4 linked regions of the Drosophila melanogaster genome follow. The protein of the gene in region 4 interacts with the protein of the main gene of each other region in a pairwise test. Each region holds a gene or a part of one and is shown on either strand. Other genes may lie near its edges.

Region 1 (5,890 bases), on a different chromosome or scaffold from region 4:
GGCTCGATAATTACTTGCCGCACTGGAAACAAAACAAAGTGTCTTTCCATGGCGGAAGTAGCGTCGCCTTTGTGGGAAACCAGTTCTGGCTCGGAGTCCACTGTCTCCCGCGCAACTACCCGCTCAATCAGAGCCAATCAATCGACAACTTTGTGTTCCGCAAAATGCGAAATGTGAACAGAAAACAAATTACAAGTGCTCCGAATCAAACCAAGACGGAACCGATCAAATGGGTGGGCCCATGTCTCGCCCCGAATCTCACAGATTGGGAAGACTATAAAAATATAGTCACCTGCCTGCGCCGATCAATATGCAAATCCGAATCGCAACAGGCGATGATTTGAATGGGTTATGAGTGATTAATGATTAATGATCGGCGGACACTGGAGTCTAGATTCTACGTAGATATATATGTGGGCGTGGCACAGGAAGTGGAAGTGAGATTTGGCACCTTCTAATTTATGTATTCATTGCGGATCTAAGCCGTCAAAAAAGAAATGCTACGTCTCGTAAATCTTTAAATCAGTTAACTGAAACACATTTTATAATCTAACATATTGCCTACAAAGTGCTGAAATCCTCCCTCTCGAAACTAAAAACTTTGACACATTTTATTTAATGCCCACGCAAATCCTAAGGCGTATTTTATTTAATTGGTCTTATCTGTTCAAGCCTAAAATATATACATTAAAAATTTATTGAGCATATTGCCGGAAAAGTTTCTTGGCAGCTGCTCTTGCAAATTTGGCACAATTTGGGCCACCGAATCGTAAATGTGTAATAAACATTTTATGATACCTAAACAGGGAATTTATTAAATCATCGATTGTCGACGGCCAGTCACAAAGTATTAGATGATAATCGAGAGTGCTCTCGTGGTCTCGAATATCTGAATGCGATTGGACGGACATCTCGAGTGCCTTTGTTTGAATTTCGGCGCACCGACAGGTATGTATACATATGTACATACCTATAAATACATATCTAGAGACTTATATTTATTTGTGTAATTATGACACTGTTTTCACGCCAACTTGAGCAAACAAACAGCAGTAAGGCTCTTTGTCCGGGCCAAGTAGAATTCGACGAAGTCAGGCACAGTGGGCAGGGGCAAACAAAAGACCATAAATAAATCACATGCGGAGACAACACGGCGAAAAGCAGCTCATAAAAGTACTCATGCTTGTATACTTAATTATTGAACAGGCAGATTTAAATATTCTGTCCTGCGACAAGCCTCCTTTTGGCAGCCATAATCATTGTGCAATAATGACACAACAGCTAAGTGACTCAGAGACTTCCTCGTTCAAATCGCGTGGACGTGTCACTTAAAATCAATAAAAGTTAAAACCAGATGCGGCTATGCGTAGATACAAAATGGGAATTTGCATTTCCGTGTTGGTTTTTAAAATTATTATTTCCAATTTACCCCCCTTGCTGCTCGTTTTAATTTTCCCACTTCCATTTCTCCCCATCGCTTCCTGACACTTTCAATTGATTTGCATAGTCAGTCAGTCGCACTTTTAGGTGGGCCACCCCACCTTTATTTTAGATAGTACTGACTTCTAAATACATATGTAGGTATATAATTTTGTACTCGCTGTGTACCACTATCTATAAGTCGGGCGACATCACGTGGCCCCAAAATTATGCACACCCAGCGGACATCGTGATAAATGGCTTTGTCAATAAATATTATACGAACGCTTTGTGCCGACTTGCGTCGAAATAGAAGCTGAAATGTTAATCCGCATTAATTATGCTATCAAGTGTTGATGGAGCGTATCACAACTTATAGATAGAAATGCATTACACGTTCTGGCCCAAAACCTCACCAGATATATTCTTGCACGCCCAGTTTTAGTGTACATGTGTCAGTGGTTGGGCTTAACATTTATTCTAATTATACCTTGTTTTTGCCTGCTCATTTTACGCATTTTTTGAGCTATTTATAAAAAACATAAACAAGCGCACGAGAGAGAAGACCAAAGCCATCGATTATCTCGAGTGGGGCTGCCTTCCACTTTTCCACTTTTCTCGTCGGAAAACCAAAGCATCCGCAACAGTCGCCTTTCAGTCTGCCGGATTTTCGAAACTGGTTTGGATCTACATAGATAGGTTGGGAGTTTGGAAACTTCTTTAGGTATCAATAATTATTAATAATAATTACTTATTTAAGCTTTTATCTTCTTGTAAGTATGTATGTATGGTAAGTATACGAAATTTAAGATATATAAAATGGATACAATGGTTAAATACTGGAAACCTGGTTTAACTACAGTACTATCATCACTGTTTTCTAGGGGCTTTCTTTCCATTTTGCTGTTCAAACCGAGAAGGCAAATGAGCTGAGCTTTTGGGAGGGGGAGCAGCAACTGTTACTGTTTTATTTGGGATGTACGAACACGAACGCGAGTGCATTGGTGTACGTGCAATCATGGCTTTTTGTGCCGTTGCCCGATAATTCTCCACGCAAATGGCATGGAAGGGCCATAGACAAAATCAGAAAATCCGAAGAAAAAATCAGAGACGCCGGCGACTTTAGTTTTTTTTTTCGTAGCCATAAGCAGTAAATGCTGCTTCTTCCTCGGCTTATTGCCAGTGTTGTTGTTTTACTGTGCTGATGACCTTAAATTAGGCGTAGGTCTTTGCTTTTGTGTTCGCCGTATTCGTCATTGTTGGCCAAGTTTTTTTTTCATTGGTTTCTTTTGACGTGGTCAGCTGTTTTTTATATTTTTTCTTTGCTGCTTCCAGTCGTCGTAAGCAATAATAGGCACTAACAAAAAGATATTTCACGAATGTCATGACCTGCAGCTGAGGAATATAATAAACTAAGTTGCTTCTATTTCGCAGCTGGAAAGGCAAGCCAAATAAGCGACGAACAAAGAAAAAGCCAAAAGAATCTGCGAATAATGCCGATTAGAACGGTTTACTAAGCCAAGCGACTAAAATAAAACCGTTCGCTTCACCAAGAATCCGAAAAAACCGCAAGCCGCGCCTAAAGCAATCGCAAAACAGAATGGCGAAGGAGAGAAGCAGAGAGACGAAATTAAAGCCAAGCTGGGCCAAAAATTAAATTGCAAGCGCAGCCATTAATTACGATTATTTTGCATCCATTACCATTTGCATCACAAATGGTTGCAAATATTTCTATACCTTTTTTTAATTTGTTGTCTTTCAACGAGGTTTGGCACAATTGCTTTCCTTTGATTGGTTAGTCACATTTCTCATTCGTATTGATTTCACAGTATTGGCACTCGCGTACACTTATATTTTCAATTATACTTGTATATTCTGTGGACATTTGTGGTTGAATTAGTATAATTATAATTACTTTTATGCACTCGGAATTTTTGGGAGTCCGAGACTCAGCGAAAATTTGGTCAATTGTGAGAATGCCCCGCGTAATTTACTTTAAATTAAATGCCTTGAAACATGTATGCTTTCGATTAATTGCTTGCTTGCAAGGGACTTTTTGAACTCAAATGACCTTAATGTTAAACTCAATTTTGACAGGGCGTTAAATTTAAGCCATTTAAAACAAAAGTGGGGGGCAATGTTATTTACAGTTGCATTAATATTTTTTGCAGAAAAATCTCGCTCTCACTTAAAAAACTCTCGTGTATATGCTGTTATAGCGAATTCCCGAGCACGGATGTTAAATTAAACAACTTAATATATTTCTTTCGCCAGGAAAACGGACACCAATGGCCGAATTGCAACGGACAATCGCCAAATGAAATGAGTGCAGAAAAATAATTTGCGGACTGCGTTGGTCGGCGTCGCACAAACAGTCGCACACGAGTCGAACATATTTTTAAAAATAATTTTACAATATTTATCGCCGATGCTCCACATACATATGTATGTAGTATATCTGTGCTATATCTTAGTATCAAGCACTGACTTTGAGCGCGCGCGTTCTGTTATTTGTGTTCCGTTTTCGTTTCGGCTGATTCCGATTTTGTGGGAGCTACTTGCGTTGCGTTCGGTGCAAATGGAAAACTTAAACTGATCGAATCGATCCACAAAAAAGTTGTCTGCTTACCGATGTTTAGACACATGTTGCCAGCGAGAGCACATGTTGCGGGGCAACATGCACGATACTCTAACTTTATGAAGCGAACAGAGTACATTTGTATAAATGTTACAAGCAATATGTCCATATGTCGTGTCTCGCGGGGCAGCCACATCCACATACACATACACATCCACATGTGCTGCAACAAACTCGTTTTTGTTTTTGTTGCAGGCCAAAAACCTAAACCTGCTTGAGTTTGGCTTATTTCCGTTTATTTCCACTTCCACTTGGCGATGTTTGGACACATGTTGCCAGCGAAACGTACGACTGCCGATTGATTTTAATACACTTTCCAGGAGTGTTGACACCATGGCAGAGGATCTTGAAAGATACTCTAACTTTATCACAGTTGAACAGTAGATAGACAGAGTAGATAAGTTACAAGTAATAAAATGTAACTAATTAAAATCGTTCAAATGGGTTCAGTTCGATTATTTAGTATTTGTAGCAGTGCTAGATACCATCTATATCATCATCTAATCCGAAAAGGGTATCAAAGTTTCGGTACGTTTCCCATTCGATTTGTTGCTTCTAATGCTGGGGCGCATGTGCAATGAACTTGTTTTGAATTGCAATTGCTATTATTTTTTGGAGGTTAGTCAGCTGCGGCGACTTTGTAATTTCATTTAAATTACTCATACGCCATGTGACGCCGCTGTAATTATTTGATTTCGCTCCCAGCTCCTCGGCGGCAAATGCATTTCCTCAACTTTAATGTAGGTCACTGTTGAGGGGGTGAAAGTGGTACAATTATCTGGCCAACCCCCTGCCACCTGTGTTTTTCACCTGACAAGGAAATTACCGCCAAGGCCGCAGCAATTGCCCAGAGAATTTGCCCTAAGGTGAACTGCATTTCAACGCGGAGAAACAGAAAAAATAGAATTTACAATCCGACCTTGGGCATTTCTTCCATTTAGCTTGCAACCTCTGACTTTTTCCTCTTTCTTTGCCTCATTTAAGACGCATGACTGGGCTCGAATTGCGAATTATGCAAATTTCAAAGTACGCAACTCGTCGAAATCAGAAAAAGTGCAACATCATTTAGCTGCCGCTCGTTCTCCGTCCCGTTCGCACCCTCCATCTTCACCCCCCCCCCCCCTCTGACTATTTACAGTTTTTCGGACTCGGACGATTACAATTTTCAGCCTTCAATATTATTACACAATCATAAATTGTCTGAACTAAAATGTAAATGTTTTGAATGCGCCTTGGGGGCCACTAAAAAACGCAATCGCATGTATTGCCAGCGCTATGACTAAATCTATGACTATGGTTATGCACATGGCTATACCTATGGCTAACGCTATGGCTATAAGCATAGCTTATCAGGGTCTCTAATCAAACCAGTCGCAGGTGAGGTAGGAATCATACAACACCACCTTCGCAAAGTGTAGAAGCAATTTCTAAGTTTTTGAATAATTCTAGTGGGTGAAGTTTAAGATATTTCGAAGTAAAGTATGAGGTAACCAATGTTACCAATCGGAGGTTTATCAACCTGTTTAAAGAATCTTGACTTTAAACAGCCAACTCATTGCTTTCAACACGAACTCAGCTCCGAATGTTAATTGGCTCTATGGCCATAAAGAATTGACAGTGTAGTGTTTTGGTTTTGCTATTGGCAAAAGTAAAGACAAACCTGTAATTAGCCATTGGTGCTATTGAACTAGAATAAGCCAACTAACGCCACTCCAACTTTATTTTGAAAAAATGTTGTGTTTGTGAAAACTCACCTTTTATATTTCTTCTCGTCCTGCAAACAACTATCTTATTTATACCCTTGATTAGCATTCAGGGGGGTTGAGTTTTCTC
Region 2 (8,958 bases), on a different chromosome or scaffold from region 4:
CAAACATTTTGTAAGTGATGAAATTTGAGGGTATTCCCACGATCAACCGTTTCAAAAGTCTTGTTTTCTGCTTTTACACAAACATTTTTGGCAGTTTAATTGAGCTAAAGTACTTTGTGATATATGCACCGGCTGAGGAGGCGGGTTCGCCCTAAAGTTCGAATGGGGCAGCAACAATCTCATCGACTTCCCGTTTATGCACTTTTCCGATTCCGGTGGCGGGGGTGGGTGCCTCGCAGCGACCGCAGTAGTGGAGCTGTGGAAAGCGGGGAAAATCGGTTGGTAGTGAAAAGTGTCTAGAGCTTTTTCTGAGGCCGCCGGTGGCAGGCCGACTTTTTACCTGTTGGCCAATTAAATTTTCAAAACGTGGCCGCACAAACGTCCAGGCGCCCATGTTGCGATGCTCCTCCTGGCTCCAAACAAAAGCTGCACGCAGAGAAAATATATATAGTGGTACAATATATATATCAAGAAAGATATTAGTTATATTTTTTCGTGTATAAAAACGATAGCAAATACAGATCCGGTCAACTTTGTGGCCTAAGTTTACGATGGACTCACATTGCACGTTGCCGTACTGGGCCAGCTGGGCCTGCAGCTCCTGGATGGGGAAAGGACACAGGGACTCCAGGCGCAGAATGGCCGTGTCGTAGGCCTGCCGCTTCTCCCGCTCCTCGGCGAGAGTGTAGTAGTGCTTTCCACTGCACAGGATGACCTTGCGCACCTGCTCAGGCTTCGCTATGGTGTCTCCTATCGTTGGGGGTGGGTAATAACAGGGGAAAGTAAAGAAGAAAATGTGGATTAATATCGTAGTATAATAACCCTGAATTTACGTAAACATCTTTTTACAATTCATAGGAGCAGGACAGCATATAAAAAGATATATGTGGCATTAAAAGTCAATTATGTGCTTTGCAAATCTGAAAAGTTTATATTGCTAGTTTGCCTTTATGTATGTGGCCAATAACTATTTTGGCCAACGAGGTGTATTTTTAATAGATTTAACTATAGTAGTTTTCTACATATTTGCCTAGGGACAGAGACATAGTACCCTAGTCATGCCATGACCCCACTCGCTATCCCTCGAGTCCGTGAAGATAAACAGAAGCCATTACTCACCCAGGACATTGTGGAAGAGCGTGCCCGGCTGGAAGTCCTCGTGCGTGGATGTGGCCGCAGGAAGACGGAGCAACGTTTTGGGGGCCACCACCACGAGGGGCTTGCGGAAGTTCCTTGCCAGTTGGCGACGCAGCACATGATAGTATTGGGCGGGCGTGGTGGGGTTCACGATGTGCACGTTGACGGAATCGCCATCGGCGGATGTTTCCTTGGAGTCGCAGAGCTGCAGGAAGCGCTCGATGCGACAGGAACTGTGCTCCGATGCAGCGCCGTCGTATCCGTGGGGCAGTAGCATCACAAGGGCGTTGGACTCCATCCACTTGGCTAGTTAAGAAATTCTTTAAAATCAGTACGGAGAAAAGATGCTATTTCCATCTCACTTTCTCCCGAGACGATGAAGGTGTCGATTATAATTTGTGCTCCATTGGCAAAGTCACCAAACTGCGCTTCCCAGATAATCAGGTTGTTGGGATTGTCAATGGCCATGCCGTACTCGAATCCCAGCACCGCCTCCTCCGACAGAATACTGTGAGCCAGCTCCAGTTTTCCACCGTTTCCGCCCTCCATGCTGTTCAAGGGAATGAACATCTCGTTGGTCTGCTGATCCACCAGCATGGCGTGGCGATGGGAGAAGGTTCCCCGACCCACGTCCTCACCACTGATCCTCACATTGTGTCCCTGGTACATCAGGCTCCCAATAGCCAGGGCTTCGGCTGTGGACCAATCGATCTTGACTCCGTTTTCCAGTTTCTTCAGCCGAGCATTGACATGCGTTTTCAGCAGGTGGGGATGGATGTTCTGTTACCCAGGAAAAAACCTTTAGAATATATATATATACACATATCTGAGCTAACTTACAAAGTCTTCGGGGAAAGTCACACTCTGCTGACCAATGTAATGAAGTAGTGAGTAATCCAAGCCAGTGTCCCAATAGGTTAGCTCCTTGGAGGGAGCCAACTGAAAGTTCGTCCACTGCTTCTCGAAGTAGGAAGGTGGTGGCTGGTATGCAGGAGCCAAGGCTAGCTCCTCGCCTAGATATTTCATGTACTCATCCCTCATCTCCTTGGCCTTCGATTCTGATAGAACCTGCTCCTTGGCCAACTGCTGGGCATACAAGTCCGGAACCGATTCCCGCTGGTGAACAATCTTGTAGACCAAGGGATTGGTGAAGGTGGGGTCATCCAGCTCGTTGTGACCCCACCTTCTGAAGCAGTTCAGATCAATAAAGATGTCTTTGCGGAATTCCCTCTGGTACCTAAAGGCCAAGCTTGTGACCCTGGCCAAAGCCTCGGGATCATCGCCGTTGACATGGAACACAGGAGCCTGAATAGACTTGGCCAAGTCTGAGGTGTAGGCAGTGGATCGTCCTCGATCTCCGGGCGTGGTGAATCCCACCTGGTTGTTGACAATCAGGTGCAGACTTCCGCCCACCTCGAAGTGAGGCACATAGGCCATGTTGAGGCACTCCTGGTTGATTCCCTGGCCGGCGAACGCAGCATCACCATGAAGGATTACGTTGAGCACGTGCTCTCCAAAGGGCTGACTGCCATCCCCGAAGGCACCCTCTCCTCTGGCTTGCTGTTTCGATCGCGTTTTTCCCATGGCCACAGGATTGGCCGCCTAGAAGTGGGATAAAGGAGGAACACGATGCTTAAATTAGAAATCAAATTTCAAAGTTTGACGTGTGTCGGCTTACCTCCAGATGGGAGGGATTCCGCACCATGCTGAAGCTCAGCTTCTTGCCCAGTATTTTCAGCTGCTCGGAAACATCTGTGTGCGATTCGGTTCAGGTTTTATTAAATTAAGCATACGCCGTGTGTGCTTAGGCCAGCAAGGCTAAGACTGCTTGGCGCACACGAAAAGGATGGGATGAAGGGATTTTAGTTCAAATGAAGACTATGAAATACCCAGGATATTAAAATCCATACCTAGTACTAAATACTTTGGGATAAATAATTGACTATAAATAAGTTATATGTTACATTTTTTCTCCTGTTTCTATTTTACGGTCAATTCAACTTCAGATCCTTCTTGTCCGTGTAATAAACGAATATACCAGAATACCCTACTATACCTGTAAGCCCACCGAACGCCCCGGCAAAGTTTCACTTACGGAAATGACTTATGACGTCGGACATGGCCTCGATGTCTTCGGAAAACTCGGATGCGCCGCTGAGTTTGCGGAAAACTTTCGCCGGCCGCATGTTGAGGAGCGCCGCCTGCAGCGGAGTCCTTCCTCGATGGGGCATCGCCAGGACCACGTGCTCGATGTTCGCTGTCATTCCATTGTATAATTTTTTTTTATCGTTGTCGTCGTTTCCGTTGTTTTTCGGGGTAGCATGCGAGAGGGAAAAGTTTTGAGAAAGCAGATTAGGGTTAAGTAAGCGTGCGATGATATGTGAGCATGCCTGTGGGAAGGAAGTTTGGAATGCTGGCTAGAGTTCAGGTGGGCTAGCTCAAATTCCGAGGAGCAGATTCACCATCTCTGCGGACTGTCACGAGACAAAGTTCGGCGTCTTGAAATGGGTGCGCGATTCCGCGTTTTGCTAATCGCGTTTAAGGAGCGGTCCACACGCACGAGACCGTATAAATCATGTCATAAATATGGGATGAAACTTTGAAATTTGGAATAAAATGGACTTAATCGTAGAAGTTTATGAATGTTGCTTTGCCAAATCGATGTTCAACGGAGTGATGCATCCAAATAACTTCATGATGGCATTGCGTGGGAAACTCACCTTGGACACTGTCACGGAGCAGTTGCCAGAAGAAGGCTAGCATGGACTCGGCTCCTTCGCCTCCGTATCGCTTGACTGTGGGAAACTTGAGTGCCATGAAATTGTCCCAGGCCTGCGACTTAATTAACAGCTCGGCGATTTCGCAGCGCTCGCTTTTTCCCAGCTGCTGCTGGTCCAGCGTCTCAAAGTTCCGGGCCAGCCACTCACGCTCCTCGATGTCCTGCGAAAATGAGGCAGCGGGATCAGCACGCAATGTTTATGGGATGCGGTGGAATGGGATGAGATGCGATAGGACGGGACACCTACCTCGACGTAGGAGAACTCGGCGCTGGTTGAGCGGCCGCAGTAAATGTCCTTGAGCAGCTGCTCCAGCTGGGCGACGTTGTGGGCCACCTGCGGACCACTTAAAAGGCCATCGGTGCGCACCGGCTCCTGTGTCTGCAGTCCATAAAATGCGGGACTTAATTCCTGCAGCTCCTGCTGGCTGTGTCCAGTAGCCACGAAAATTCACAAGACAAATACACGCAGCCGGGGCGATATTACAAAGCAGCCAGAAAGGGAGAATAAAATATGACATTTGCCAGGACGATTTCGGGAGGGGTATGGGAAAATGGGAGCTGGGAGCTGGGTACTGGGTGCTGGAGCCTCCTACCTCGTCCTGATGCTGATGGGATTTACGGCTGCCAATTTGTGCCCATGCTGGCGAAAGGCCTCCACAAAGCGATAGACGTTGGCCTGCGAGTTCCTTGAGGCCCGCACATCCTCGGCCACTGAAACACACGCGTAAACAATATAAATTTCGCCCCACGTTATAAATTATTTAAAAAAGGATTCACGTGCACATCGCCCCGTTGCCACGTTGTTCGGCCTTTTGAATTTATTGGCCTTTTACTTTTATGATATTTATTCTTTGCTTTTTACGCTTTGCTTCACTTTGATGGACTAGCTGCCAGGTATGTGCACTTTTGAATCGTATTTACCCGGCAAATATTTGGCATTCGATATGAATTCGAGTGGAAAATGTCGAAAGGAGTTGGCTAAAGATTTAAATGGGGCTTATTGAGATTGCGTGCAGAACATATATTCTTATCATATACATATATCGTTAGTTATTCCAGTTAGCAGATTTACATCGAATTTAAAACTATAGAGTGTACCACGACGTTTGTGCTTCCCGATGGCAAGCAATTCGTGCTACATATGAGAAATTACGATTGTTGTTTTTATTGCCTTTGTTGGGATATTTTATTCCCTGGTTGAGCCATTGACAACTCGTTGGCTGCTTAGGTGTTTACGTGTTAAAGTGTTATCCTGCTTACAGGATTTATATGCGATGACGCATATCACTCGATTACAGTACCCTGAAAATTCGAAATCCGTGGGACAGCTGGCATTTGCCAGTTAGACCGACCCCAAGTCGTCCTCAGAAATTTATGCAATTTCTCGACGGCATTTCGGCCATAAATCAATTTAATGTTAAAGAGTAGGTCGCTTGGACAGGAGCACAGGGTGTATGATGAATTGTATTTGCGGTGACAACATTTCAGCTTGAGCGTGTAAATATTATTGGAGCACAGCGGCGCGTCCTTTGCCAAGGATAATGATTGCCCTGACAGAAATGCAGCCAAAGGACGAACGGCAAACAAGGCGAATTATACCGATACTACACTGAGGCAAAACTAACGCTTAAAGTCAGTTTTAGTACGCTTTACCATAATTCAAAATACTGGTCAATTGGGTTTGCTTTAGAATATCTAACATACTTTTCCAAAGCCTGAGTAAATCCTAGACTTGATTTTCTCTATGTGCATCATCCTAGGCGCCTGATGTCACATGGTCAAGCGTTGAAGGCTTTCCTCTGGTGCCCAGTCAAAGGCTCCTGGCAGACTATCCAACTACCAACTACCAACTGGTGACTGGTGTCTGTTGGCCATGGTGTCGATAAGCCCCAATTGTGTACGCAACGGATGCAGGACAAGCACAAAGAAGCTCCCGTTTTGGGGTCCTTTGTTTGCCGGGCTTTGATATTTAGCCGGGTCCTTTTTGGACTCCCTGCCGTGCGTTTTGGGAAAAGATATAGTATCTCTGCACTGGACATCCGCCTCTCTTCACTTAATTAGTGCACTGCACGGGGGGTCTGCCACAATCTCCTCATTCTAATTATAAATTCGGGGTACTGGGTGTAGCGCCATATATTTCGGGTTTATCAGATTTCAGAGTGAAAACATGTGATAAGCTGAGAACGTGGAGATTAGCTTGGGTAGGTAACAGGAAAGACGGTAACATTAAAACCATAAAAAATATTCCACCAGTCAACAGGAGCTGTTCTTTCTCGATAGTATGAGAGGCATAAACAATGAACTTCAATTTAAAAAATATTTTGCGAAATTAAGTTAAACCTGAAGTTAGTGAAAATAATCCTAGGTATCCATACGTATTCCCGTATATACCCTCCGATTACAGGGTATACAAATGATATATCTTCTTTAAACTGGTTTTCGAATTCACCCACAGCAATTTGCACTTGATCTCTTGTTCAGGCTGTTGTTTTATTGCAGTTTCTGCGGGGATTGTTGTGGGTCAGCTGCTTGAATTCCGCTGATAAATAGCCGGCTGGAAAATCCGACACGAACGCACACACACGCACACAATGTCACTTCGTCGGTTTTTCTTTTTGCTTGGGTAGATTTCCACTGCCCATTCATATGAATGTTTGATCCCGAAAGACTCTTATCGATGCGATGGTTATCTCGACGGATGAGGTTTTTATTGAAGTCTTGGCAACACACTTGTTTACAACCGTACCTTGAAATTCACGCTGGGCAATCGGCTTATAGCCCCAAACGCCCTTTTCGCTGTGATAGCACCGCGATTGTGGGCGTGGCAGTTTTGCGATTCCCGCCTCCGAAAGCGCCAGATAACGCAGCATGCTGATGGATTAAAAACGAGGCGTGTATGCCGGATCACCTGATAAGTTCGCAGCGAAATCGCGGTCTCTTCTCGCCGCCGTTCGACCCAGAACTAAGGGCAATTCACTTTTGTTTGAAGCCGGGACCCCCATATTCCAAATAAACTAAATTGCTGATAAGCTGGGAAATAAACCGGGAGAGAACAAATCCCTCCGAAAAGTAGTGCCTACTTTTGGGCTGGTGGTGTGATATGATCGCTGTTAATTAACAGAGCGCTTGTTAAACACATGTATGAGATGATAATGAATTTCAAAATAGTTTCTTATCAGTTAACTAAAGCTGATAATGCAACAGGTTCGTTGGCCAATAATGGATTGCCTTTGAGAGAGGGAAGAGTTGTATCCATTAAATTAGTCATACATATGCTCAGGAATATATTGAAATGAACTGTACCATAGTTAAAAACATTTTTATATTTATATATATATTTTATACATAATTATGCTGTCGTTTGTTTAAAAGATATATGGGGTACATTTTCAACACCAATTTTCCCCTAACAATAACCACTATAAAAATATATCTTATCCTTCGATTTTTATTATAGCAATGTTTATCTGCATTATTGTTTTATAATACCCTTTTAGTCACACAAGTTGATCCTCAAAACGCTTTGATTTTATTAATTTGGAGTTCCCCACTCTGCACTTGATTTCTTCATTAATGAGGACCATGACACTTTCATGTCCTAATGAAATCCATCAGTAGGCTTTTTTACGGGCGGCTGATATTCATAACTCTAAAGCTTCATCGGAAATGCCTATTAATGGTCGGTAATGGGTCATTGTCTATAATTAAACCGGAAGCGTGCTCTCATCAATTTCGCATCACACACATACATGTTTAGGCTTTACAGCCCATTCAGCTTTTCACAAAATGGCCGCGTCATGAGTATGATTAACTGTAATGGAAGTGAATCACAAATCTGCCAGAGACCATTGTCAACAGAGAGAAATATAGGTAACGGTCCCACGAATGGGCATAAACAAATAGGTTGGTAAATTTGGAGCACAGAGAAGAGAGTGAAGCTTCCCGAAAAAGCCAAGCGGGCCGAAGAAGGAATGCGTTATCGGTGCGTAGTATTCCATTGATAAGATATGCCTAGCTTTATCTGGCCGATAAGGCAATGTTTCACAATCGAGTAGACGGCGACAGGTGAACTGAGTTTTGGCAACGCCCCGATCGGGCCGTTAGAGTTAACTTAACTTCAGTCTTAGCTGAGCGGCTCGCTGCAACGAACGTGTTTTCCTGCCTGGTAATTAAAGTTAAAATTGAAAATTGGTGACAAGTGATAAGAGAACTGATAAGCCATTGCCTTAACTGATGATGTCATCAAGTGAAAATTGTTAGAAAATGAGGATATCAGAGGAAAAATAGTGTACAAATTCGCATGAATTGAGTGCTTATTGAGTGATACTTTTATTGTGGATGCCTAATTGATGCCTTTGTGTTTTTCTTTTAGCAGTGAAACGAAAAAACGAATTACCAATTAAGTGACAAATCGAAATCAAGTGAACATGCGTTTCAAACTGTTTGTGGTTTGTGCGCTGGCCTGCGGGTTTATGGCCTTTGTCCTGGCTAACGAGAATATATCGACGGAGGAGTTCGAGGATCAAATAATCAATGCAGTTCCGGAGCCGGTCAAGGTGACTAAGCCCAAAGCTCAGGCGGAATTCGTTGAGGTTCCAAAGGCCACGCCCGCTCCCAAAAAAGCGGAAGCGGACAACCCGAAAACCAAACCACTGGCCCTGCAGAAGCCCACTCTGATTCCCGTGGTGCATGTCAGCAGTCGGGGAACAGATGATATCCTCACCGTCGCGGGACTGAAGCCCGAGAAAATGTTCGGAGCCCTCATCATGCCAAATGACTATTTGGGGGAGCTGTACGACGTGGACAACAGCGGCTACAATTGGGGTGAGTAGGTTTCGTTGTCCCTGGGCTGATTCAGTTCCACCCCATTACTCATACGCCGCGTTGACTATCTTATCAGAACAGCTCAGTGGGTTTCAGTTTGGTTTAGTTACCAATATTTGCTCGATAACCTGTGTTCGGGCATTCAGGTGTAGGTGCTGTAAGCCCCTCTCTCTCTCTCTCTCTCTCTCTCGCTCTGTGTTCTTCCCGATAAGATAATG
Region 3 (3,890 bases), 4.6 Mb from region 4:
GTAACTTATTCTATTTATGAGCCCATCTTAACTAGAGAGCCCTGTTATATTCAATGGTTACTGGGTGTGGAGAACAAGTTTCGCCCGAAGTCAACGCCTGATTCCAGCATTCCACCTCCTGACAACGTGCCAAAATAGCCCTGAAGGTTTCTATGGAAGGGCCCAACTCCAAACTAATTGCCTGGGCACGCCTTTAACTTCTTCACAAAATGGGGAAGGGGATCTCATCAAGCGCCAATGCATATTCATAGTCATAACGAGATTTGAGGTCTGCCATGTTCACACAATCTTCCTCTTCTCCGCCGACTTGAGACATAACTCATAACTGCACAATTACCTGATTATTTTAATTAGCCTAAAAATAAAATTAAAATAAAAAAGTTGAGCAAGTGCAGGAAAAAATTGAGGTGACAACACATAGGAAATGTCTAAATATACGAACAAACGCTGGCGATAGCATAAATCACCGGCGAGGGGAAACAGGGAAACTGTAACTGCAAACAAGTTAATGAATGTATCTGTGGGATACATCTGCATGGAGAGAAAGACTCGACAAATAGAGTTGGCCGAAAAGCAAAAGGCGGCTATAAAAAGCGTTAACAAGACAACAACAGCAATTGGCGAACAATAAAATACACTTAGCAGCCGAAGAAGAAGCGAATAACCACTAAATTGCTGTTAACAATTCTTGGAGTGCCCAGCCAAGCCAGTCAGCAAAGGCAAATACATTTTTCTGTCTGCCAAAAGTGGGTCAGCAAGAAAAGCCTCCCCCTTTCCATTTTATAGAAGTCTTCAATGCCAGCCGCAAGCGTTTTCATCAGCCAACTCTGCAAACGCAAACTCTTTCTCTCGCGTGTTAGTTAGATTTTAACTACCGTTTAAGAAGTATCGTACGGCTACTCTCAACTCTTCGCAACTGAACTCCACTCCGCTCCGCTCCTCTTGGCGTCCATTAATCACCTTCAGTCGGTGCAAAGAGTCAATTCACCAGCGAACAGCCTGCCAAATGTGTTCCACGCAACTGCTCAATCTCCGTATCTTTTGGGTGCCTGGAACGAGGCGCACATTTGGCTTTTATCACTCGATCCGCACCAAATAAACTACAAAGCCCCTAACGCGAAAACAGAGAAAAACGTATTTGTGTTCCAGATTTTGGCGCATTTACGGCTTGCGTAAAAATTTCCGATCGGACCAGACCGAAGAAAATTCTGTTGCAGCTCTTAATGGGTTGTTGGATACAAAAACTCGGCGGGACATGAGAAAATAATCCGCACACACTGCAAATACTGCGAATAAATCACAGAAGTTGTAAACTCATTTGAAGTGCATTTGATTTGAGACAAGTAAGTCAAATATGATTCCTTTTACAAGCATAAACATTTTATTTATTCCCGTGCGATATCGATTGAGCTCTTTCCAAAATTTAACCGTGGTAGATGTGGTGTCCATAGGTGGGAACAGCGTAGGACTTCAGCACAGGGACATGCTGAACCACTGGGACATTCTTCACCACCGGAACGTGCTGCACCACTGGAACAGATTTCACCACGGGCACCACTTGGGCTACAGGAACCACACCGTAGGAGGGCTCAATGTAACCAGGAGCAGCAAAAGCCATTGCTACCAGGGCGAAGATCACAGCGATCTAAGGAGATATTTTGTAATATGAAAAATCACAAGGATTTACTTTATAATTTCGTGAACTTACAATGCGGAACATTTTGGTATTTTCTTAGTAATTTACAAACTTGACTTGGAGATATTGTCACTTGGATGCTTGTAGGACGACTGGTGATGCTGACCAATGGATCAGTTACTTTATATAGCCAAAAATCACTTCAATAACAACTTCTAAATGGGCAAACGTGTTTGGCCATAATTCTTCTGTTTAATTGAGAGAATGGATTTATCAGTTGACCCAAAGGTGCCTCATATAGGTCTTTTTTTGTGGACATGACCTTGGTTCTTGGTGATCATCACAAACGCGTGAAGACGATCGATATAATGACAATGGTCTTGGAAGTAAACAATAATAAGCACACGGATCTAAAAACAGCAAACAATTGAGAAGTCATTGAATGGGGATTATGTCCAAAGGTTAAGCAATAACGACCGATAACGGGAAGTTCGCCGCTGGAGATGGTTTCATACCAAATAGAATGCGCATTATTCGAAGATACCAAATTTAAGATAATTAAACTGGTTTGGCGCGTGGCGTTCGAACAGAAGTCATTTGTGGGCTATTTTCGGCTGAGGTGCTAACTACTATATATAATGATTCCACGGATGGTCAATCAACAACAGTCGTCCGGCTAACACAAACGTTCGATAACCACAAGTTAAAGTTTTTAACTCACAACAAAATACCAAAATGTTCCGCATTGTAAGTTCACGAAATTATAAAGTAAATCCTTAGGATTTTTCATATTACAAAATATCTCCTTAGATCGCTGTAATCTTCGCCCTGGTAGCAATGGCTTTTGCTGCTCCTGGTTACATTGAGCCCTCCTACGGAGTGGTTCCTGTGGCCCAGGTGGTGCCCGTGGTGAAATCTGTTCCGGTGGTGAAGCATGTTCCAGTGGTGCAGCATGTTCCGGTGGTGAAAAATGTCCCAGTGGTTCAGCATGTCCCTGTGCTGAAGTCCTACGCTGTTCCCACCTATGGACACCACATCTACCATGGTTAAATTATTGTAGCACAACCCCATTAGAAATTGACCCGACATAAATAAATTGCCAACCAAATCGAACTTATCTTTATTTTCTGGTATAGAGCGAGGATAAACTTTTGGGTCATGCCATCGGGACTGGCTTAATTTTTATACTTACAATTAAATGATGCATGTTTTTTCCTACATCAAGGAAATAATTCTCGTAAAAATTACGTACCCAACACCCTTTCGTGGTCAGCACTTTCCATTTTACACATTTTATAGCAACTAAAGTTGTCCGCAGACCCCAGTGGTTTCCATGGCTGACTGATTATTTTATGGGACATTTTGTAAAATTTAATTTCACCTCGCTCATTTTGTTATTTGCGAATAGTCACACATAAAGTCGTTAACAAGGCGGCAAGCTTCCAGGGGAAATTTCTTCATTAATCAGCGGAATAAAGTGACGCCTCTAAACTGCAGCTGCATCTTCTCCACCTCCCCCCCTCCCACCACCCCTTACCCGACAGACGTTGCCATTAAAACCCAATCCCAGCTCGTCTTTAATTTGAGCCAATTAAAGTGGCGACAAAGCAAAGCCTTACAGCCCGCTTCAAACACTCTGAGCCAGCCGCCTTTCCCTTTGGCTTTTTCCCCGGTTGCGGTTCGATCTCGTGTCGATGATGAACCTGAATGGATCGTACATTAATTTTTCATTGTTTTTTATTTGGGGCTTTATTCGGGTTATTAAATCGCTGGCTAGAAAAACTCTCAAGCGATTTGGTAAAACAAAAAAAAAAAATAACATCGAAATAAGCAGACAAAAATATAAAAATAAATTGTGTTCGAAAGTCAATTTTGTGAACAGGCTTTTTGGGCCTTTTTTGTGGCAGGTTTTGTTTTTTCTATTGCCAAAAGATTTATTGTTAGCGTTTTCTTCTTAATTTTCCCCACATTTCATTTCGGTTTCGATTTTCAGTTTCAGCTTTGTTTTTCAGCCTGCTGCTACCATTCAGGTTCCACTTCCTTTTCAGTTTAAAGTAAATTTCTCGGCCAGAGTTGGGCAATTTTATTACTCTATTAGGGGGAAAAAATAGTAATTTGCTGCTCGATTATGACGAAATCATTTGATCCGCTTCACATGTGACGTCGTCTTTTTGTTGGGCCTGTCTCTCCTTTTGTGTGGTTTCTTTTTTGTCTGTGGTAATGACTTCATCGTCGCCCAGCTACCCAATCCTAT
Region 4 (4,372 bases):
CAAGGCATCGGGAAGATGTCTAGCCGCTGGAATCCTGGCACCAAAGATCCTCCACTCGGACCTCAACACCCACAAGCTGTATATGGAATATTTCGATGCAGCCAAGACTGCCAAGCAGTTCATCCAGGAAACAGTGTCCACTCAGACGGAGGATGAAGCCAAGAAATGTCTGCTGGAGTTCTGCACGCGGATCGGTGAAATCATTGGGAAAATGCACTCCAATCACATTATACATGGCGATCTCACCACATCTAACATCCTCATCAATCCGAAGGGTGGCGACTACGATGTCATTCTGATTGACTTCGGCTTGAGCCACTACAATCAGGCCACCGAGGACAAGGGTGTGGATCTGTACGTCCTGGAGCGGGCGCTACTCAGTACGCACAGCGAACAGCCGTATATCTTCGAGCACGTCCTGGCCGCCTATCGCACAGCGTGCGGTAAGGACGAACAGGCAGTGCTCACCAAGTTCGAGGAGGTGCGAGCACGCGGACGCAAAAGAACCATGATTGGTTAACGAATAATAATAAACTTTATTGGGAGTTAAACTTTTTAGCTTATTCTATCCTCTTCAAAGACTCTTTGGGAGGGTCATCCTTCAGCTCGTGTATCTTGATCTTCTTGATGTACTTTCGCTGTTTCGTTTTGTGCTTGAGCTGCTCGTGCTTGAGTGGTTCCATTCCGTTGACAGGCGGCAGCTTGAACTGGTCATACGGGCGCTCCTTCACCTTGGCAATGGCGTCCTCCAGCTTGAGACCGGACAGTCCCTGCTCCTCGTAGTACAGGCGGTATTTATCACAGAACTTAGAGTGGCCCTTCTTAAAGGCTGCCGTCTTGGTTGATGGATGCTGCATATACACAACAATTAATGATTTAACTAGCAGAAAGTTAGCTATAAACTCACTCTGGCATCAATGGCTCGCGCACAACCTCTGTGAAAGTTGTGCAGGTGCCGCAGGAAGGCTTCATTTGGCTTAAGGCCCTCCTCCAGACTCAACTGAATGATCTCGTTGACGTAGCTAAAGGATTTGTTAGCACATCCCTGCCGCAGCATGGCCCCCAGTATGGGCATGTTCATCTTAATGCCCGCCACATGCATCTGTTCCAGCAGTTCCCTAGCCTCTTCCTGCGTGCGACAACCCAAAGCGAGCACACCGTAGGTGACAATGTCCGGCCGCAAACCCGCCGTGCGAATCATGAGGAGCACTTCCTTGGCACTCTCGTAATCAAAGCGCATGGAACGCTTTTTAATCAGTATGTTGAAGAAGTCGATGTCCGCCTTGAGGCCAATCTTGCGCACAAACGTGAGCAGCTGCTTCTCGGCAGCATTTGTGGGCGGTATCACCTCCAGCATTGCGGTAAATGTCTCGATGTCCGGTGTAATGTTGTGCTGCTTCATGTGCTCCAGAAAGCCAGTGAGACCGCCGAGTAGCAAGAAACGTTCGTGTGGACGTGTCACCTCCTCCAGGGCCACCAGACTGCCCAGATGCGGCTGAGGCAGCAAAAGATTGGGCAGTTCCAGCTCGCTCGCTGTGGTGGCCACCTCAATTTGGGCAGGCAACGTAGTTGTGTTGGCTTCCACACTGGGTAAATCATCTTGCTGACCTTTCTCCAACTGGAGAACTGGTTTCTTTCTAGCAGCTGAGGGCGCAATTTTATCGATAACCTCTCGCATGGAATCCAAGTCACCGAAGCCACAATCCCTTGCACATCTCAGCATTGCATTGAAGCTGTAGTAGTCCGGGCTAATACCTCGCTGCAACATGTTGTGCCAAGTCAGCAGAGCATGCCGGAAACCGTGCTCCGAGTTGCTGGCACACGCCTGCAGCAGAAAGTTGAATGTATCTGCATTCAGTTCCAGCTGGCGCTCCATCATTTCGTCGGCCAGCATGTAGGCGGTGTCCACATCGCCACACCTTCCATACGCCTTGATCATGGCATTGTAGTTTTTCACATTTGGTTCGTAGCCCTTCTCGAGCATGTTCTCCCGCAGGATTTGGGCCTTGGCCAGGCCATCGCTCACGGAGGGAGCATTGGCGCAGGCGTTGAATAGCGAAGTGTAGGTTCCTCCGGTGACTTGAAGACCACGTTGCCGCATCTTGGTGTACAGGAAGAAGGCCTTGCGGGTGTAGCCCGCCTTGGCACAGCCACTGATCAGCAGATTGTATATGTACTTGTCCGGCTTGGCGCGATCCTCCTTTAGCATCCGTTGCTCCAGCACGGCGATGGCCTCATTTAGGCGATTCGCCTTAAGATGGTCCTTAATTTGGCGGGCGTATTCCACGGCTTTTAGTTTCTTTGAGCGCCTAGTGGAATTGCTAAGGAACTCCTCTTCCTCGACATCACCCGGGTCTTCTGTTGCAGCCACCTTGGCATCGCCAAAGGTGTCCGGATCACCAAAATCCTGCACCTTTTTGGTGGACTTCTCTTTGGGTTTCTTTTCTGGCTTAAACTTCTGGTGCTCCTTGGGTGCTGCTGTGATAAGTTCTTCAAAAACTTCTTCGCGAAAAGGATTCTGGTTCCTGTTGGCCTCTCGTTTGGTCTCCAAACCGGCTTGTTGATCCGTAATCCTCACGTGCAGCAGGCGATTTTGTGAGCAAGACCAAGTTGCAGGCAGAATAACCAGCCGGCTGATGTTGTAACTATTTAACCGTCTTCCGGTGGCATTTAATTGCAAGCCACGTATGTGGCAGCTCATTGAACGGCTAATCAACCGCAGAGCCATGTTATCTGTTGCAATTTTCTGTGATTTTTATGTAATTAAAAAAAAACTATTTTAAACGTGCGTGTGGCGGCGGTGTAAATAAAGAAACAGCTGATGAAGGGGCGTTGCCACCTTGTGTCCGAAATGCCAGTCAAATAAGAACGTAAGCAACCTGCACGGCATTCACATTCCACGCAAACATCCATTGCAATCTGACCTGGTTTTTCGATTAAATTGGTGAAAATTAAATAAATTAAAAATGAACATGACCGTGGATCCGCGCCGCAAGGAGAAGATCAACCGCTACAAGGCGCCCAAGAACCAGGGCCAGAGCGGCGGCGCCAACGAGGACATGATGCCGGATTACATGAACATTCTGGGCATGATTTTCTCCATGTGTGGACTGATGATGAAGGTAATAACACCCCAAAGATTACAACCAAGTGACTTGGCATTTATCAGTATGTAACCCACCTACACAGCTCAAGTGGTGCGCCTGGTTTGCGCTGTACTGCTCCTGCATTAGTTTCGCCAGTTCTCGGGCCAGCGACGATGCCAAACAGGTGCTCTCCTCCTTTATGTTGAGCGTCAGTGCGGTGGTGATGTCCTACCTCCAGAATCCCGCTGCCATGACCCCACCATGGGCTTCCTAGCACTGGACCTAAGATAACTATTTTAAATTTAATGTAATTGAACAGTTGAGAGCCTCGGTTTTGTTCGACGCTCAGTAAAAAAGTACGTACGTAGTTGGTTGCCTTGTGAATTCAGGACAGCTTTCTGGAACTTGACCTTATAGCTATATAGGTACCAACTCCAAGACTTGCCTAGTGTAGATGAAGGTATATTTTATTGCATTCCGAAAGGGATTAAAAGGGGACTAACATGAATACAGGCGGCTGGGCTCAATTCAATAATTAATAACTTAGGTAGGCGGTGATGTGGAGGTAGTACTGCTAATGAGATGACTCCTCGCACGGCGATTGTGGCTAGGTGGTGAGCAGGTAGTAGGCGAACAGCATGAATGCCACAATGTAGACGGTGCCGAAGATCAGGACGTATTAAATCTCTCCAAAGTTCTTGTGTCCGGTTTGCTTGGCATGCTCCTGGGCCTGCACCTGGCCGACCAGCCTGACATCGCACTGCATGCAGCGCAGCGTGAATTTATCCACATTGGTGTATTGGCGGGAGGACTGCGCCTCGTTGGCCAACTGCTCGGCCTGCTGATAGACGCCCAGCTCTTCCACCGGGAAGATGGTGGCCGGCGCAGCACTCGGCGATGTCTCCATGTACAGCGGATCGTAGTGGATGCCATCGAAGAGCAGGAAGACACGCAGTCCAAAGTTCTTGTCCTCGCCAAAGCGATTGATAATGGCGTTTTGTATGTCCACCACATCGATCTCAATGCCATAGTAGTTGGACAGTATGGACACTTCGATGGCGCCGCCCCACGAATCCGCCTTCTGTATCCAGGCGCAGTACTCGGCATTCGATTTGCCCAGCACGGCGTCGTTGTAGCTCTGCGGATCGGCGGCCACCTCCTGCGCAATGATGTGACGCATCATTTCGCTGCCCTCGTTGTCCACCTTCCCGTTGAGCACGAATCGTATGCTGGTGAAGAGGCACGAATTGTCCGCCGGCACCACCTTCTTCAGCAGTATGCCATTA

What was found.
Region 1: the proteins of CG10674 (region 4) and mtd interact in a two-hybrid assay, tested with the Drosophila melanogaster proteins (one large-scale study listed by BioGRID).
Region 2: the proteins of CG10674 (region 4) and CG1544 interact in a two-hybrid assay, tested with the Drosophila melanogaster proteins (one large-scale study listed by BioGRID).
Region 3: the proteins of CG10674 (region 4) and CG34267 interact in a two-hybrid assay, tested with the Drosophila melanogaster proteins (one large-scale study listed by BioGRID).

Annotation. Positions count from the first base shown.
Region 1 is NT_033777.3:5,319,832-5,325,721, forward strand, and holds the start of mtd (mustard), read right to left. Parts: upstream 4,017-5,890; 5' UTR 3,608-4,016; intron 3,295-3,607; 5' UTR 3,157-3,294; intron 1-3,156.
Region 2 is NT_033777.3:31,194,840-31,203,797, reverse strand, and holds CG1544 (uncharacterized protein), read right to left. Parts: upstream 6,883-8,958; 5' UTR 6,787-6,882; coding exon 6,663-6,786; intron 4,628-6,662; coding exon 4,510-4,627; intron 4,342-4,509; coding exon 4,164-4,341; intron 4,078-4,163; coding exon 3,858-4,077; intron 3,395-3,857; coding exon 3,233-3,394; intron 2,890-3,232; coding exon 2,816-2,889; intron 2,740-2,815; coding exon 1,978-2,739; intron 1,918-1,977; coding exon 1,500-1,917; intron 1,444-1,499; coding exon 1,120-1,443; intron 751-1,119; coding exon 562-750; intron 427-561; coding exon 341-426; intron 257-340; coding exon 152-256; 3' UTR 76-151; downstream 1-75. Other genes in the region: mesh, read left to right, coding at 8,344-8,740.
Region 3 is NT_037436.4:498,654-502,543, forward strand, and holds CG34267 (uncharacterized protein), read right to left. Parts: upstream 1,799-3,890; 5' UTR 1,721-1,798; coding exon 1,709-1,720; intron 1,646-1,708; coding exon 1,424-1,645; 3' UTR 1,361-1,423; downstream 1-1,360. Other genes in the region: CG34268 (uncharacterized protein), read left to right, coding at 2,372-2,383, 2,447-2,686.
Region 4 is NT_037436.4:5,134,828-5,139,199, reverse strand, and holds CG10674 (uncharacterized protein), read left to right. Parts: upstream 1-2,907; 5' UTR 2,908-2,966; coding exon 2,967-3,122; intron 3,123-3,181; exon of another isoform or gene 3,182-3,189; coding exon 3,190-3,360; 3' UTR 3,361-3,452; downstream 3,453-4,372. Other genes in the region: Tcs5 (Threonyl-carbamoyl synthesis 5), read left to right, coding at 1-520; CG4611 (uncharacterized protein), read right to left, coding at 561-851, 908-2,728; Yod1 deubiquitinase, read right to left, coding at 3,766-4,372.